2 linked regions of the Xenopus tropicalis genome follow. Each later gene encodes a partner of the first gene's protein in a complex. Links are inferred from orthologs where the notes say so. Each region holds a gene or a part of one and is shown on either strand. Other genes may lie near its edges.

Evidence for each region. Proteins that work in one complex are often made in the same cells at the same time.
Region 2: the proteins of aplnr (region 1) and apln are in contact, whole or in part, in a cryo-EM structure (PDB 8XZG), measured with the Homo sapiens proteins. The link is inferred for Xenopus tropicalis from reciprocal best matches to the Homo sapiens genes APLNR and APLN. Residues at the interface, in NP_005152.1 of Homo sapiens: Tyr35, Phe78, Trp85, Tyr88, Thr89, Tyr93, Ser106, Ile109, Phe110, Met113, Pro163, Val164, Arg168, Gln180, Cys181, Tyr182, Met183, Tyr185, Glu194, Glu198, Leu201, Gly202, Ser205, Tyr264, Lys268, Tyr271, Ser275, Cys281, Asp284, Leu285; in NP_059109.3 of Homo sapiens: Arg66, Pro67, Arg68, Leu69, Ser70, His71, Lys72, Gly73, Pro74, Met75, Pro76, Phe77.

What each region holds. Positions count from the first base shown.
Region 1 is NC_030677.2:143,793,911-143,799,641, forward strand, and holds aplnr (apelin receptor), read left to right. Parts: upstream 1-2,135; 5' UTR 2,136-2,207; coding exon 2,208-3,302; 3' UTR 3,303-4,391; downstream 4,392-5,731. UniProt on the Homo sapiens protein: G protein-coupled receptor for peptide hormones apelin (APLN) and apelin receptor early endogenous ligand (APELA/ELA), that plays a role in the regulation of normal cardiovascular function and fluid homeostasis.
Region 2 is NC_030684.2:52,324,699-52,330,186, forward strand, and holds the start of apln (apelin preproprotein), read left to right. Parts: upstream 1-2,274; 5' UTR 2,275-2,372; coding exon 2,373-2,439; intron 2,440-5,488. UniProt on the Homo sapiens protein: Peptide hormone that functions as endogenous ligand for the G-protein-coupled apelin receptor (APLNR/APJ), that plays a role in cadiovascular homeostasis. Functions as a balanced agonist activating both G(i) protein pathway and beta-arrestin pathway of APLNR.

The DNA.
Region 1 (5,731 bases):
ACTGAATTTTCTTAGTTGGGTCCATTGGAAGCAACCCATGGCTAGTCACCTGCATTATGATTGACAAATGTCTGGTGTGATATAGGCCAAAAGGGGCTAATCCATGGAAGAAAACAAACCCGTTGTGTTTGGAATATTCACAGTATAACAGCTGATACTTTGGGCAAATCAACAGGAGACATCAAAGCTTTGTCTGGGCAGAACATCTTCTTCCTAAAGTGATTCTTTCAGAGTCAATAAAGCCATTTCACACCTTAGAATTCTCCAACTGGTACTGGATCCTTCAGTATGAATGGGCTGTATGCTTCAGGCCATCTACACAAAAATAACCTGTGAAAGGTGCATTAAAGAGAATGAGGTGTGAAAACATACACGTCCAGGCTTGTTTTAGACCCAGGAATTAACACCATTTTATGGGAATTAAGATGGCCAATGTCATCGTCAAAATATTTGCAAAATAACACTTTAAGTTTCCAGTATTTAGAATAAAACATTAATGCAATAAAAAAATGATATTTGAATTCCACATTAGAAGTTACAGTTAGAGCCACATAGACAAATGCAATGGCCGAAGTGGCTTTAGCTGAAGGAAAATGTGCAAGAGTCTGTTAGCACAAGAAGGCACCATGATTTCACCCATGCAGGAACAGAGTTAGAGAAGAGGAAGCCCCATCTGATGGGGGGTGGGGGGATGACATAAATCAGTAAGGTCCAGCCTGCTGCCCTCCACCCTTTTGTTGAACTACAACACTCAGAATCCTCCTAAGGAAGAAGTTACTATCAAAGGTTTAGGACATTTATAAGTGCAGCAAGCATGTAGGGTATATTATGAAGCTGATGGAATGGGTATAAGAATACTTTTCCTTGGACAACATAGAATAATACATTTACAGTATCAATGATTGTGTGTGTGTGAATGTATCCCTTTGAGTTATATAGAGCTACTTGTATATGCAGTGTTTTACAGTTGAACAATTAATTAAGAGAACAAACAAGATGTAAATACAATAATAAGATAAATACAAAACACAGTTAGATTCAAGTTTAAATGTTAAAGAGACAAGAGAAAAGAGGCCCCTGTCCCACAGAGCTTACAATCTGTGTGTGTAGCAGTGTGTCTGGGCATGTTCAGTGTACATTTTTACATTTGTATAGCATGCGTGTGTGTGACCTTATGTCAGAATTGTACTCCTTCTTTTGTTCCTTTGCATGTTTATGTATCTGAATGGCAGAATGTTTATCAGATGATGTAATGTCTTTCTTACTATCCTGCTATACTATACATACCATACAATCTAATGTCTTTCTTACTATATACAAATAATTAATTGTGGCTGAACTGAGGAAATATAAAGAAATTTGTACATTTATTTTTCTGCAATAATTCAGGCATCCTTGTCTAATTATGACATCAAAAGTGGGTCCCTGGGTAGAAATAAGCTATTAAGTGCAATGCTGCTGAACCTGTACACAGCTGGGGATGCCTTATTATTGACTTGAAACAATTTGTGCAAGCAGAGGGCTAATGAAATGGGAATGAAAGACAGAGAGAGAAGTGTGAGACAGAGGTGTCAAACAGACTGTAAAACACACAAATGGAGACTGGAAACCTCCAATGTATATTGGGAAGGAAAAAACAAAGACACTTCAGTATCTCTTCATACTGTATTTTCTGTGCATATTTAAAAAAGGAATTGCCACCAAAAAGTCACAGAAAAAACATTTGATAGAGAGCCTGATAATAGAGAGTGATAGTTGAGCATTCTAAGGGTAATACATTCAGTAGTTTTCAGACAAAGCGAACAATAAAACACAAATATACACATATTTATCTTAGAGGGTTTAACTTGTATTTAAGGGATATCCACACAGAGCATCTATAATGTATGCTGTCTCTGGGCACATGCAAGCAGTAGTCAGAGGTGTGGAGTGTTAGGGGGGAGGTAAGGCTATGCCCAGTTAGGGAGGGTCACAGCCCAAGCAATGAGAGGGGTGGAGCTGAAATAATATGGATAGGCTCCTGATTGATGTCAGTGGGTGGTCTTTTGCCTTTAATTTGTCTTTTAGGGGGTGGGGAGTTCAGGGGATTCTTAAAAGAACTTGAGTGGAGGCAGCTTTCATATCTCACAGCATCACTATATAGACTGGAGGCCTCTGCTCTGCTTCTAGAACAAGACTACATTGCTTCCTCACTTCAGCCTTCAAAGATGGCAACAGATGAGTTCAGCAGCAGCACTACTCCTTCATACGACTACTATGATTACACAAATGAGAGTGGACTACCACCATGTGATGAAACAGACTGGGATCTCTCTTACTCTCTGCTACCTGTCTTTTACATGATCGTTTTTGTCCTTGGACTCTCAGGCAATGGAGTGGTCATATTTACAGTATGGAAGGCCAAGCCAAAGAGGAGATCTGCAGACACCTACATAGGTAATCTTGCACTGGCTGACCTGGCTTTTGTGGTAACACTGCCTCTGTGGGCCACATACACTGCTTTAGGCTTTCACTGGCCCTTTGGTTCTGCACTGTGCAAGCTCAGCAGCTATCTGGTCTTGCTTAATATGTTTGCCAGTGTCTTTTGCCTCACCTGCCTCAGCTTTGATCGATACCTGGCCATTGTTCATTCACTTTCCAGTGCTAAACTTCGCTCTCGCTCCTCCATACTTGTATCCTTGGCTGTTATCTGGCTCTTCTCAGGGCTTTTGGCACTCCCAAGTCTGATTCTGCGTGACACACGTGTAGAAGGCAATAATACCATCTGTGACCTGGACTTCAGTGGTGTTTCAAGTAAGGAGAATGAAAATTTCTGGATTGGGGGGCTTAGCATCCTTACCACAGTTCCAGGTTTCCTGCTGCCCCTGCTCCTTATGACCATCTTTTACTGCTTCATTGGTGGCAAGGTGACCATGCATTTCCAAAACCTGAAGAAGGAGGAACAGAAGAAAAAGAGGCTTCTTAAGATTATTATTACTCTGGTTGTGGTGTTTGCTATCTGCTGGCTGCCTTTTCATATTCTGAAAACCATTCACTTTCTAGACCTCATGGGCTTCCTGGAACTGTCTTGCTCCACACAGAACATCATTGTCAGCTTGCACCCCTATGCCACCTGCTTGGCATACATTAATAGCTGCTTAAACCCTTTCCTCTATGCCTTCTTTGACTTGCGATTTCGCTCCCAATGTTTTTTTTTTTTTGGATTTAAAAAAGCCCTCCAAGGACATCTCAGCAACACCTCTTCCAGTTTAAGTGCACAGACTCAAAAATCTGAAATTCATTCGCTAGCAACAAAAGTCTGATTGGGAAAAGGGAAATTTGATGGGCTGTGGGGGCAGAGACTTTTTTCTTAAGACTTTTAGGGTTAATTGAACGTTATCTCTTGTTGCTGCAAAGGGAAGGTCATCTGCTGATTACAGAACAGGGACTTGCACAGTCTACTGGATCATATCACTGGAGTCTGTAAAATGCCCCCACTTAGTGGATGTCTGGCTTTTCCTGAGAATAACAGACACACCTTAGTGAATGAGACATTCTTACTCAGTCCCTCTCCAAAAAACAGGAGAGCTGGTTGGACAGGGTGGGAGATGCAGTTTACTGAATTTGTTATTGATGCAAGAGGTAACTGGGTATCCAATGGGTTAACACATGCTGTATATTGCTAGATTTCTTCTTTGTATTTGCTAATGTTTTTTTTTTACTTTCCTGTATATATTTTGCTTGTTAAAGCACTTGTATGATATCACAGAGCTTACACTTTTAACACTGTTAATGGTCATTTCAGAATGCAATGTAATTGCAATGTTATTTAACCAATTCACTGCCTTGTGAGAATGTCATAGAACTGGAGGTAAACTGGTTAAAAGCAGGTAAAAGAACAGTTGATAAAGAAGCAAATAATCAACTTGTAGGGTTAAATGTAGATTTCCTTTTATGCCCCTATGGCTTTAGTGAACTATCACTCAAAGTGTGCCCAAACAGCCAGTGACTGACTGAGGATTCTGGGAATTGTAGTTCACCTATACTCTGAGGTATGCAGCATTGCCACTAAAACTGTGGATTTAGATATGTAGAGACATCATGGCAAAAGGGAAGACTATGGGAGACAATAAAACTGCAAACCATTAACCAAAGATAAAGGACTACTGAATGCTATTATTCTGTGACTGGTGTAGGTCATTTGCCTCTTATCCATATGTACCCTGTATCTATGTGTGTGCGTGTGTATGTATATATATATATATATATATACACACACACATATATACATATTTGTATGTACATATATATGTATATATCTATATGTAAAGTATTCCCTCAAAGAGGGGGAGCCTTAACTGATCATTGATAAAACTGCGTTGTTTGATGCAATAAAACATTTGTACTTTGAATTGTTTCCATGTCTTGTTTATGTACACAAGAATTACACTTATTCCAAAATTCAGTTTGTTTTGAAACTATGATTTTATAACAGAACACATAGGCATGTGCATAATGTATAAGACCTCCATTATAAACACAAATTTTAGTTCCAGATTTAAAAAAAAAAAAACCTACTGCCCATCCTGGTAATGCTGTTCCTGGACCCTCCCACAGACCTGCAGATTCCTAGATTTCCTTCTAACTTGTAGAGTTGTAAGATATTGAATGGGTGAAAGATGATAATCCCAGTGGGCAGCTCAGAAAAGGACATTACTTCCCTTCTCACACTTAACCCCTTTGGCTTACCAGTTCGCAGCTTAGAATTCTAAATGAGGTAAAAGACATTTTAATTGGTAAAGGCCAATGTCTGTCATTTATCTGCAACTGCAGCAGTGAATTTAAAACACTGCACAAAGGGGGTGTGTGTTATATGCACAGGAATATAGAATAAATACAGTACTTGTGCGACAGTATGTGCCACATGTGGCCTTGTATATTTGCTTTACATGTATCTGCATACTTTAGTAGCACTGAGGGGTTTTACTATGATTCAAGAGCACCAACATTCCTGTGCTACAGTATTTTGTAGTAGCTTAATAAATATTAGTGCAGTGTCATAGGTCCCAGAAACAAGAAACCTTTCAAAGGAAAAGGAATGCCTTACGTCATTTTTGGGTTGGTTAGCTGGAAGGCATTGCAAGGGGTATTAGAAGGGGTTATTATTGATATAAACTCAAGCCATTCAGGTATATGCATAACTGTGGGGATACGATTAAAGGGAAATTACAGCAGTCATCATGCCTTATAGCACTCTCAAACCAGCATTTGCAGACAGTGCCACTCTGGGGCTGCAAGAGCAACACTTTATATCAGGGGTGTCAAACATCCAGGTTCCTGATGTTGTTGAACTAGAACATTTAGCATGACCTTGCAAATGTAGTCCAACAAAAAGTTCCACCAGTGCACCCTTACCTCATCCAATACTAATGTACATGTATATGTAGTTCAATAGCATATGGAAGGTACAGGTTGGATTATAAATAATAGTGCCCCAAAAGGCATTCTGCTCTGGGCCCTGCATCACTGTGCCCTGAGCATATACATTCATTGTATGCATACTTCCAAAACAATAGAGCAAAGCCTTAGGGCAAAATGATTGCCTTCTAGCTATGGAGCTGTTTCATTGACTTTTGAGTACTAATACAATTGTGGATTTTCACCTATACCACATCATCTCTGTCCCCATTGCATAATGCCATGACTCTAGGAGAGCCCTATAGACACAGGCCCTAAGACACAGGCACTCACA
Region 2 (5,488 bases), on another chromosome or scaffold:
TATAGCACATTTTATCGATTGGCGCTAACATATTCTATTTAGAACTACAACACATATGAAATCAATATGTTGAATGGCTAATTAGTATGTCATTAAGATGCACACTACTGAAACCAATGCATTCTGCGTCATGCAAACTACATACAGTGCTATTCACCACGTTGCGTTCATAGCAGCAATTTTTAAGGTCTGAGCTGACATTTAAAATAATATTGTTGTGCCCAGAAATCCATTGAATTGTTGTGAATAAACTAAATACCAATTATACCAGTTTTTGTACTCTCCCTTTTATTCATATCTCAAAACACACATAAGAATCAGCATTAATCACAGGGTATATCACAGACTTGGGTGTCAGCTGGTAAAGTGGTAGCTTCCATTTGTCAGTGGAGAGATAATTAAATAGGTTGACAGTTGAAAATACAAGCTAGCTATACTCCCACAGCTCACTAAAGGAATGTACACAAAAATCCATACTAATAATTAAACAAGTCCTTCCTGATTGGCTGTGTTTACATGCAGTTTCCAAACACATTAACTTTGCTGGTTTTATTTGCCATATCTTTAATTCCAAGTTGATGTATGCAGAATGCCTATATTCTGAGGGCTGCAGTATAAATCACTCACTATATAAGTGCCTTCATGCAGGAAATGTTTTAACAACTATTATGTTCTGCTTTAATAACATTTTGATGGGCGGGAATTGCTTTGTGGCTTACAGTACTGTAATATGTACGAAAAGCAATAAAAACTCATCTTAGATCCATGAACCTTGTCCGGTGTTGGAGAGCCCCCAAGTATCTTTCTATCAGAAGTATCCTATTCATGCTGGCTGTAAGATTCACTCAAAGGGAAGCAACAGGCATATTTTCAAATCAGGACAGCTATTTTTCTCAGCAGTGGAATCAAATGTAGCAGTGCTTAATAGTGGGTCCATAATAAAGTCTGGTTTGTGAATAATAATGAGTGACCACATTACTGGTTATTGTTACCTTTAATTACATTTCCACTTGGTAGAACACAGGCTGTTTTCACTTACAGGGGATACAGATGAGCTCTGGTAACTGAAGTGTCTGGTATAAGAGCTCCATAATATTTCAGCATCTCACAGAGATATGTCTTTTTGCTGGTTCAGGGGGTATATTTTTTATGACTGGACAGAAAAGTCAAGACAAACATTTACCTGTATATCTTACTCCATGAGGCACAAAATGCCATTTTCCTGTCCCCCAGCACTTTGACAAGTCAACACTCCCAGTGAAAATACATCCCAATGGGGCAATAATGGACATCAGAAAACTGTCAAATGTACAGAATATATATTGTACCTGCAAGCAATATTTGATAAAATATATATACTGTTTACAACTGTGTATTGTCTGAAGACTTTAAAGATGCACTTGATTAAATAAGTCAATGGACTAACTTACTAATGCAGATTGGCATGTTTTTACTCACAATGAACAATGTTTTCTCTTTCTCTTTAATATGGCTAATATAGAATGTTCCAACACTTTCATAAGATTTACCAATGAGGATATAAAGTACTGAAGTTGTGGTGTTGCTTTTCCCTGGTTGGTGCTTCCAGCATTCCTAGGAAAAAGTTAATATGGGATTTATTGGATGTGTGTTGGCACAATATGCAATGCCACGTGAACCCTGAAAATAACATGTCCTTAAAGCAGTAGTTCCCTTGGGTGCAACACATTGTACACAATTACCCGCATTTCGTCAAAACGTAATTGGTGCCAGGTGCAATGTATTGGCACAAGTTCCCTGGTAAATCTCCTTTAAATATAAATATATATATGTTGGGCTGAGGATCCTTAAATAAACCAGATTGCAAATCAGCAGAACCTACAAAATAATGGAATGGGGTTATAATTTGAAAGATTATCAAATAAATGTATGAAAATTGCATTCACTTATAATGACCATATTATATTAAAGTGTATTTTAATTACCACCCCTAGTCAAATTCACCCAGGTTTGCATTCAGTTTTATTTTATGTTTTGAATATTTTCAAATTGAAATCTAAATAGCTGCAAACAATCTGGCAGGCATCCAGTTTGTATTGTAATATGTTTGTCAAAGCCAAGTGCTTTGTTAGTCCTATGCGGTGTTACTCAGTTCAATTCATTATGGGTGTAAAAAAAAAAAAAATAGAGGAGAGGATTCCCCCCCCCCCTCTTCCTTGCTGGCCACATGACCAAGCCAGACTCTCCAATACAAAACGCAGCCCCTGTAGTATGTGAGAGCATTCTCTGGCAGACTAGAGCTCCCTCTGGAAGGAGTTAGGCTTTTCCAATACACACAGCTCGCTTCTTGGATTCAGCACAGTTCTGCTCGCTCGCACTCAGCCACAAGAAACATGAATCTCAGACTTTGGGCACTGGCGCTTCTGCTCTTCATTTTAACCTTGACTTCAGCATTTGGAGGTGAGTCTGCTTTCTGAACCTTACTGTGTATATATATATATATATATCATGTAAATAAAAACTATATTTCTATATTTATACTTATTTCTATAATGCACCCTGTACTTAACAGTCATTGTAGCCACATGCAACATTTATAAAGAAATACTGCAAGGAGAGCTGTGCTGAAGAGCTAACAGTTTAGCATTAGGAGTTAGAAGAAATGCAATAAGGGATTAATTATTAACTACTAGGAATCAGATACCAGTATAACCAGTGTACTTTAAAAATGAGATGCATAAGTATTGTGCTCAAAAGCAAAATCATTACATTTTGGTGTAACAGGGTGCAAAAAAGGCACAAGTAGAACCTGCAGAATAACGAATTTAGCACTGTATTAACTTTTACACTGTATTAACTTTTACTCACAATGTATATCTTTCATTAGGCATAATAGCTAATAGCTGCGGTACAGAGTTTTTACTAAGCATGGTATTTTCTATTACCTGTGGTGTTGATGTTTAATTAAGCATGGCATTAACTTAGTGTAGCACAGATGTTTTATGAAGCATTGTATTCACTGGTATCTGCAGCACAGATGTTTTATTAGGCATATGTAAATGACTAACTCTAAAACTCCCACCGCAGATCTAAAATTAAGCCTAGCATTAACTAATCTAAAATATTTTATTAAATGTGGTATTAATTGCAACCTTGACCTTGTGTTTAATGCTTTATTAGCTAATGCCTACAGCATAGATCTTTCATTAAGCCTGGAGTTAACTGATACCTGCAGCACTGACTGACTGCATATTAAGTGCTGTACTGATACCTGCAGCACATGGTATTAACTAATGGCTAATCTTAAAGTTCAGCTGAATGTACAGTTGAATGCATATGGAAATATCAATATTGTAGACGTGAGAATGCATTGTATTGTATGTTACATGTTTCAGGCATTCAGTAGCTTTTATGTTTAATCTGGTGACATATATATCTAAAGCCTTATATTAAGCTATAGCTATTACTATGGGAGATGCATGGTCCTGCTTATATTCAGTTGTAAGATGGAAAATAATGCTTGTATTTAGTTTTCTGGCTAAAGTGTCTTGTGCACTTGCTCCTGGCTCAGATTCTTGCAGGATACCTTGATAAAAGAGCTCTCTCTGAGATCAGATAGGGGCTGTGTCAATAGAGGAGTTAATAAATCACAGGATGTCACCTGTTTACACTAAGTTGTGGTATGCGATGGTGTTTACCGCACACCTGGAAGTGGGGCTTACTGGCTCCTAGTGATATTAGTGTTGCTCAGGGGGCCATTTTCATTCAACGAGGGCAACTCCTTTTTATCTCCAAGTTCATAATTTATCGGCATATTAGAGGCATCACTTAGGAAATTGGATTGCATTATTACATTTATTGTCCTAAATGACATGCTGTGTGTATGTCAATAACTGATATGTTCACCAGTATAGGGTAGGATTGAGCTGACACAGATGGACCCTTGAAAGGGTATGACTGATATGGTTAGGACTTTCTTTATCAGTATTACTGAATGTTGGATGATGATATGATGCCAGCCATGTGGTCAGTATGCGGGAGGGTTGTTGGCTTTGCCTACAGTAAATCGACTACAGTTTGAAGCTCTTAATCACTCTGTGTTCCCACACCAACAAGGCCCTTGGGTGCTTTAAAATTCATTTGTGGAGTAAAGAGAAATGTAGCAAGTGGGATAGAAAAGCAAATAAAACTAGTAGATGGCAAGACTATGAACATTACTGTCAACCACACACTGGTAGTATTATAAAGCACTTATTTTGGAATACAGTAAACCTTATAATAAAAAAACTATTAGTCTTAATCAGCATCAATATTACAGTCACATACACTGATATCATTTATATGTAAATCAAATGTGTTGTTAGACAGACTTTGCCTTACTCAGACATCATGAACCCACACTGAATAAGATGCAGCCAAGTCTCTTAATCCTTAAGCAAACAAGTTTTACAAATGGAAGTGTTGGTTATTGTTCTGTATGACTGGCTGCAGGCTTATTATCTCTCTACGCTTAGCAATGGCAGCCAAGGGGTTAATGGGCATGTACTAATTACTGATCTTAGGATGAATTTGGGCAATTCAAGAAGTGACCTGTTGTAGCACAATGAATGTATGCGCATTGGGTCAGCCACGGAAGGTCAGTTCAAAGACATAAGTTGTGACCTATTGTTCTGCTCATTTTGAGAATTAACCCCCTACCTTGGCTACATTACTTCTAAGCATCAATGAATAATTCATAGCACACAGGGGTGGTCCAAGACTATTTGCTGCCTGAGGCACAATCACCCAGCTGCTCCCACATCTAGTCTTATTTTTCCTGCTGGTGGCATGGCAGTCCCACTCTGGAGATCAGGACCTGTAACATGCTGAAAGTCCATAAGTTCAGCTCTTGCAGTTTCAGACATCCCTCTGTCCATTCCCTAATTCAACAAAACTATTTTTACTCATGAAAAGGACATGAAATCATAGGAAGAGGGCAGACTGCAAAGGAAACTGGTTTCCGTGACTGATAGGGAAGATAGGGAAGCCACAAGCAAATTAACATATGTAAAAGGTACACTATCTTCAAAGAACCAACATATCCAGTCGTTTAAACAATTACCTTGAGGCTGCATTGATATGGTCCATACTACCCTCAAGCAACTGCACTGTGCTGACATGCCCATGATGTTGCATTGCATTGTGAACCCAAAGCTTGGAGAAATGTCTCTTTATTGTAGGCATTGGCATACTCCAGTGTACAACAGGAACTAATAGGAAGTAGGTGACTATAAATGCTGCTCATTTCTTTTTTCAAGGAAGGCAAAATCACTTACGCTCACTGGCAAAGCCAAGGCTTAGCTCTTTAGACTCAATATTCAATATTCATATAATAGCATAGGCAGTTAGTCACAGCCTGGTGCGCCTACTGGAAAGGAAACCTAATATTGCATGGACTTTATCTATTTGAGGTGGACTAGCAAGTGCTGGTACTGGGATCATATCATTATAAAGAGCAACTGAAGGTCTT